2 linked regions of the Oryzias latipes genome follow. The protein of the gene in region 1 interacts with the protein of each later gene in a biochemical or structural test. Links are inferred from orthologs where the notes say so. Each region holds a gene or a part of one and is shown on either strand. Other genes may lie near its edges.

What was found.
Region 2: the proteins of dhx9 (region 1) and A-kinase anchor protein 8-like form a complex in vitro, tested with the Homo sapiens proteins (2 studies listed by BioGRID). The link is inferred for Oryzias latipes from reciprocal best matches to the Homo sapiens genes DHX9 and AKAP8L.

What each region holds. Positions count from the first base shown.
Region 1 is NC_019875.2:12,671,727-12,676,065, forward strand, and holds the start of dhx9 (ATP-dependent RNA helicase A), read right to left. Parts: upstream 2,906-4,339; 5' UTR 2,808-2,905; intron 2,298-2,807; 5' UTR 2,227-2,297; coding exon 2,116-2,226; intron 2,046-2,115; coding exon 1,905-2,045; intron 1,677-1,904; coding exon 1,571-1,676; intron 1,499-1,570; coding exon 1,344-1,498; intron 1,171-1,343; coding exon 1,022-1,170; intron 562-1,021; exon of another isoform or gene 502-561; intron 416-501; coding exon 369-415; intron 1-368. UniProt on the Homo sapiens protein: Multifunctional ATP-dependent nucleic acid helicase that unwinds DNA and RNA in a 3' to 5' direction and that plays important roles in many processes, such as DNA replication, transcriptional activation, post-transcriptional RNA regulation, mRNA translation and RNA-mediated gene silencing.
Region 2 is NC_019859.2:24,048,002-24,051,008, reverse strand, and holds the end of A-kinase anchor protein 8-like, read left to right. Parts: intron 1-24; coding exon 25-155; intron 156-676; coding exon 677-772; intron 773-1,130; coding exon 1,131-1,505; 3' UTR 1,506-2,294; downstream 2,295-3,007. UniProt on the Homo sapiens protein: Could play a role in constitutive transport element (CTE)-mediated gene expression by association with DHX9. Increases CTE-dependent nuclear unspliced mRNA export.

The sequences.
Region 1 (4,339 bases):
CCGTAGGATTCTGCACAGCAGTAACGAATCAAAATCGATTGGTTTTTGTTGCATCCACCTCAACAGGGTTGAAGGCACAATGGGGCGGGAGAAAGTAAACTATTCCTATTTGAGGGGTGATTCGTTTGTTTCATATTTATTAAAAGAATTGGTTTCTGCCGGTATTAGTCTTTTGTCATTTAGTTTTAAGAAAAATTTCAAAATGCTAAAAAATACAAGCTTTCTGATACTTAAAACACAAGAGAAAAGGTTTTCTATTTGTTAAGGAAAGCACCAATTTCTATTTACTGGCTCTGCTAAAATAAGCGTAAAGAATCTCAGCACAGAACCGTCTCTGTGGTCTCATGTACAGACATGTCAAAACTTACTTCTGCCGAGCTTCCTCACGAACAGCTGCATCTCTGCTATGAAGCTCCTGCAGACAAATAACATGGCAGAGTTACATCCCGTGCCTTTCAAAGTAAAAGCCTAAAGCCAAGCATCCCTCAGGAGCAGACTCACCTGATGTGTCCTCAGAAAGAAACCTGGGCGTTTTTCTGCCAGACTTTCAGGTTTTAAAGCCTACAATGAAGAGCAACACCACAAATCACGACCAGAGACCACGGAGCTGCACCCATGGGGGGGCTTTAGAGAACCTAAACGCCATCCCCATGTATTTCCTCAGCGTGGTCGTGAGTTCTAGTGTCGCTCTGCAGGCTTTGAGTTGAGCATGTGGCTGTGAGGGCTCTCCGGTGTAGCCGGCACACGCAGGAGCTCTCTGGGTTTGCAGCAGTCCGGCAGAAAAACACACAGGTGCTACCAGTGAGCGGCGGGCCCAGGAGTGTGGCCCCTTTCAGAGGAAACATTTACCAACCCGAGAAGCTGCAGCTTTTTAATTAGAGTTCATTTGTCAATACCCCACTCTCCCACCCCCACCTGACAGATCTGAACAGCAGAAAAGACCAGATCCAGACTGACGAGAGACCTGGGCTCGTCAGGCTGGATCTGGTCAGACGGCTTGTAGGGGAGCGCTGATCCAGACCTGTTGTGATCGGGTCCCACTTGGCTGTACGTGTACTCGGAGGTGATCTTCTCCTGCTGGAAGAACCGGTTGAGACGGGCCTTGGCGTTCTCCAGGGTCCAGTTTCCGTGCAAGTTTGCATTCAGGTCTACCTCCTCGGATTCCAGCGTCTACAACAGGAGAGCCGCATTAGTGGGACCGGTACTAAGGCAGAGCAGTCCCACCTGTTATGAAGCCGCCTAATGTTGTCACAGTCATGTGACTGCAACATGTGACAACACAGCTCAAAAGGACCGGGATCTTCTTGAAAAGCAGCTTCATGGCACATAGCTGGCTCCAGTACCGCTTGAGCCTCCTGCTCATCCCTCCGGGCGTAGTACTCCTTCAGGTTGGCTCCTCTGTCCCACTCAGCCCCTCCTCCTCCTCCCCCATTGCCACCTCTAGGAGGGAACCCTTGTTCAGTCTGTCCTGGAGGTGCATTGATGAAGGCATCAGCCTCTGAAAACAGAAACCACAGGATGAAGAGGACTGAAGTCAGGGAGCAGCAGGTTAGGTGTGTTCGGCTCAAACCTTTCTCCACCTTCACCACCAGGTGGGGGGGCAGCGGCCCGCTGGCTGGGAGGGTTCCGAAGCTTCCCGGAGGTCCTTCGGGCTGGTTGGGTTCTGGAGCCACGGCCTGGGTAGAACAACAAAAGGCCGTCAGTTCCGGTTAAGTGTTCGCTGCCCACTGGTAAACTTTTGACTAATCCTTGCAGTCTCCCAGTCTTTATGGATCTTGACTTTCTAAATGGTTTTCTGTTCTGGCCTGAACATAGCTGGATGCTCTATTGATTGGAAAGATGTTCCTCTGGTTTGCTTTGTTTTTACATCTCCTTTAAAAAAGCGTAAAAAAAAGCTTTCTGACCCCCAGAGCTGGAACCTCTTCAGCCTTCATCTCCCCGACTCGGACCAGATAGTTGACAAAGTCCCTGGCGGCGTTGGTCTGAGCATCCTTCTTGCTGGTGGAGTTTCCCATCCCCACATAGGTGAAGCCATCCACCCGCACCTTCAGGAGCAAACAGAGACGTTACGGGAGAGTCTGGTTACAAACCAGCTGGCTGTGAATGCAGACCGACCTCACACATGAACTTCTGCCGGTTTTTGTTGCCCGCCGCCCGGATTTCGTAGTTGGGAGTCAGCTTTTTCTTTCCACACCAGGCGTACAGGAAATTCTTGATGTCCGCCATAGTGGCGAGCTTCCAGCTCCGCGTGGGCTTTACCTGCGAGCTTCAGGTGTGCCCTGGTCCCTTAGTGTTGCCTGTAAAACACAGAGGTGGCTCTGAACAACCGCAGAATCACTGGCAGGCGTCACATCAAAACATACAGTGTTGTTCAGGAAGCTACAGTAAACCGCTGCCTGCGTGCGTGTCGTAAAAGAAACCCTAAACAGAAAAACATATGTGCGCCGACACACACACAGGGAGAAACGATAACAACACTAACGTTACTAAGTCACGGGGGAAATGTTTGACCGTTTTTATACTTCAGCTAGCCACGTGCAGCTCCTATCATCAAGCAATAATGTGATCCTCCATGCAATATTTTTCCCCAATTGATCCCACATTGAATCATCAGTTGCAACTGAGACAACTACAACGAAAATGCTAGTATGCTAACGTTAGCTTCATTCATCAACCGGTGTAAACGTTGACAGACGCATTGAGGCTAAACTAACTAACGCCAGTAAGACACGAAGTACGTATGCAAAATAAATATTAAAAAAGCAAACATTTTCATTCTAACATCAACGACTACATTCAACACCTACCGTCCGCTCAGTCAAGTCTGCAGTGCAGATTCCTGCAAAGCGGCAACAGCGGAAGCTTTGAACTCTTCTACCGCGCAACAGCGCCACCCTCTGTTCTGGAGGTGAAATGAACTGTTAGCTCCTGGCAGTGAGTTGATCCTTTTTTATCAACGCCCCTCTGCATGATGATTTTTTTTATTCTACTGGGATGAGAACTAGATTTCTGTCTTTTGTCACTCTAGTTGGTTTCCTTTACTCAAATTACATTGTGGTTAACATCAACCCATTGTCCACAAGGATTATAAGTGGCCACTGTGTCATAAACATTCATAAAATCAGTGTAAGTTTTTGTTGTTGTTGCTGTAATCAAATTTAAATTATTAAAATTATTCCAACCCTGCGAGAGACTGGCGACCTGTCCAGGGTGCCCCCTGCCTTCGCCCACAAGTGGCCGAGATAGGTTCTGGCAGCCCCGTGACCCCGAAAGGGAGCAAACGGAAGAAGATGAATGAATGAATGAATGAATGAATGAATGAATGAATTAACGAATGAATGAATGAATAAATGAATGAATGAATGAACGAACGAATGAATGAATGAACAAATGAATGAACGAACGAATGAATGAATGAATGAATGAATGAATGAAAGAACGAATGAATGAATGAACAAATGAATGAACGAATGAATGAATGAACGAACGAATGAATGAATGAACAAATGAATGAACGAACGAATGAATGAATGAATAAATGAATAAATGAAAATTTTTCACAATTTCTCCTTCATGAATTCAATTCAGCATTTATGTAAGTTCCATAAACAATCAGAAGTTCAAATTTCGAGTAACAACTATGGAAATATTAATCTTGCTTCTGTGTGATTCATATTTGGAGCACGAAATATGGACTCCAAATGTAAATTATATTTTAAATCAAGTCAACAAAAACCTTTTATTTTGTTACGTGGGATGTTCCATTGTTTTTCTCACGAATAAATTTTGTTTTAACAAATCAGTTTATTTTTATAAAACAAAAATCTTCAAATGACCAAATCCTTGTCTAATTTCTAAACTTCTCATCTGATTTTAATTTAAGAAAAAACCAGATCTCTCTTATAAAATGACATAGCTGTAACATGACCTGCATTGTAAGGTTTATTAGCTTAAAACCATAGATTTTTATTTCATTTTTATTTTTTCAGTGTCAACCGAAGATTTAATCTACAGAATCTACAGAAAATCTGTCCTGTTTATAGTCCTGATAAAACCAATAGTATGAAATAGAATTGCACATTTTTGCTGCTCTTTGTTTACTGCTGTAGACAGGAACCTCACAGGAGAGAAAACCACGCTTTCTCTATCCATATCCAGTTTTTTGAGGTGGTCAGTCGCTGAGCAGAGTAGCCATAAACGCCTGTAGAGGCTCTGGCAGAAACCTGCTGTAGTCACAGAGACGGTGAAACCAGTGTGTCTTGTTCTAAAGCCCCATCTTACATATTCTGTCTTTTCTTTTCAGATTCAAACACTGATCCAACCAACAGACTAGAAAAAC
Region 2 (3,007 bases), on another chromosome or scaffold:
CAGCATATCCAACACTTTTTGCAGAACTGGGCATGGAGCACTTCATGAGGAAGGTGGAGGCAGCTCACTGTTCAGCGTGTGATGTTTTCATTCCCATGCAGCCCCATCTGATCCAGAAACACATCAAGTCTCATGACCATAACTACAACCGAAAGGTATGTCACATCAAGCCTTTGAAGAGTTTGACAGGAAACCAACTACATAAAAGCATCACTCAGATCAGAAAAAATGCAGAGCAAAAGGATTTACACACAAATGATGTCCAATTAGAAAATTATCATGTTTAGACAGCTATTACAGACCAGCACATAGCTTTTTGGGTGAGTGCTACCTTATAACCACAGTAACTTGTTTCTCTGATATGCAAGAATGCGATTTGTCACATTTCCCCCGAGCGCGGCTAGCCCGCATCTCACCGCTCCCCCCAGAGGATGGGTCAAATGCAGAGAAGGAATTTCCCCATTGTGGGATAAAGTAAAATTACTATTATTATTACATTTTTAAGACTTCTAAAGCTGCATTCACACTGAACGCAAGTCGCACAGCCAATTTACGCATTGGTGGGGCAAATTCTGTCTCGGCATTCCTTTAGACCGTCTACCTGAAGGTACGACGACAGTGACTAACGTTTCTTATTCTTCTGTAAATGTTCAATCTGGAACTGTCCTATTTTAAGGGAATGATGGAACAGTCCAAGCGAGGATGTCTGTCAGTCGCTCGAAGCATTCTTAACCACAAACTGATTGGCAAGAAGCTGGAGAGCTACCTTAAGGTAAGTAGATCCCATCTGGCCTGTCACTGAAGAATGGAAAATGAGGAATCAAGTGAAGTGACATCTGCTTGACAATTCTGAATTATATTTTAAACCCATAGATGAAGACAAACAGTCCACTTTTTGTAGAAAAAAAAGCGATCCGAACCGAAAAAATAAATAAAATAAAGTGAATATGTTTCTTATGTGACCATGGTGTAAGCGGGATAATGGCCTTCAAAGTGTGCATTATCAGAAATAAATGCACTTCGCGGAAGCGTGCAGTAATTTCTGATAATGCACACTTCGTCAGCCATTAACCCTTACATACTCCTGTTAGTTTTCATTAACGAAACTTCAGATATTCGTTTTCTTTCAGGGTGAAAACCCGTTTGTTGGTAACCAGGATGAGCAGGATCCAGAGGACTCCATAGCGAACGAAGCCTCTGAGGTAACCAGTGAGGCAGCAGCTGGTCAGACAGAGGTCAAAGACGAACCTGTGCCTGAGGAAGAGACTGTCAAAGAAGAGATGGAAGAGGTGCAGATAGAACCGCCGGCAGCTACAGCTGCAGACCAAGAAGAAGAACGAGAGGGCAACATGGAGCAGGACGGAGACAAGGAGCTGGAGAATGCAGAAATGGAGGGTTTTGAAGTTGGAGAGGATGAAGATGAGGGATACATAGTACACAATGAGTTCGAGGAAGGGGGGTTCCGGGATCCTGACGAGGAGGAAGCGGGGGCCAATGTTGCCTAAGAAGACAAAGTTAACGCTTTATTTAATGTGCAACTTTTTGACCAGTATTTTGTCTCTTATCACCCCCCCCCCCAAAATCCTTCCTGTCTGCATCTGAGGGCCAGACAAAAACCAGTGAAGTTGTACCACATCAGCAGAACATTATGCAGTTTCAAGTGTAGCTTTGCAAAAGGTTGTCTGAGCAGCGGGGTGACATCTTATCAAAGGGATGCTGCATATCTGCTTTGAGGATGTTCATCCACTACAAAGAGGCCCATCCAGTCCTGCTTTTGCATAAACACATGCAAAAGTCCCTGCCAGGACCAGGCCCTTACTTTGGTTTTTGGGAATAGTGAATGTTTCCAACACTGTTAGTTTTATTGCTAAGATTAAAATTTAGGAATGCAAAAACACGAAGTAAAAGTATTGTCAACATTTACGTGAAAAACACAAATGCATGACTTCCCATCAATTAGTTGTAGATATTTTGGTAGACTCCTTTCTACATCTTAGACTGCCAGGCAAGAGCTCTTGCCTTTGTCTTTAAGTCTGTGTGCACTCTGTTCTTAACTCCAGCTGAAATGTTTGTGTTTAAAGCCATTTGTAAATTCTACTAAAAATGTAACTGTTGGGCCTGATTTCTGTGCCTTTTGTGAAGTGTTGGAAATCTTTAGAAATATTGAAATAATCTGTATTGTCTTAAGCCATTGCTTTCCCTCAGACATGAAACGGTGCCACTGTGTTCATTTGGATACAGTGATGTTTATTGACATGCCCCAAAATATTCCAATAAAGGATGTGGAGAAAATTGTTTTGTATTATTATTGTTTTGCTTGAAATGAGTGGCCGCACAATGTGAACATCATCTGATAACTTTCTGTAAATAACGTGGTTATAATATATCGATCAATATAGAATTTATATAGTTTATATAACTGGATGTCTTGCTGTCAACAAATTTAAAACATTTTAAACAATTATTGATGTTTTTGTCAATTCAGGTAACATAAACTTCACCTAAATGCACTTTTGTTTAAATTATCAATTTAAAATATAGCTTTTAAAGTTTGTTCTTGCTTTTAGTGTCAATCTTTTCTTTTGTCTATTTTAAAATATTAACTATTTTTCAGGATTTCACAGTTCTAACAGCAATCCGACGTGAATACCCTGTCATACCACTAGACGGCGCAGTTGCGTTCTGTTACGTAACGTCACTGGGCTATCAGCTGAACAGTTTTTTTTATTTTTTTTACATTTTGACTTTCGTGTTTAATATTAGGATTTAGGGTTGATTTGATGAAAAACTGCAACAAAAAATTGGGTAAATTGATAAATTTTTACGCATTTCTTTCACAGCAAATATACTGGATGAAGAAGTAAAATGTTTTTTGTTTTCCAAATGTAAAGGCCAGCCTCTATCTGCAAAGGTGTTAAGTTGTAGATTCCTTCTCCATCTTTTCAAATAAAGCTATTTCTAAATATGCTGCTTTGTAACCTGCTATTTATGAAAATTAAGGCAATTT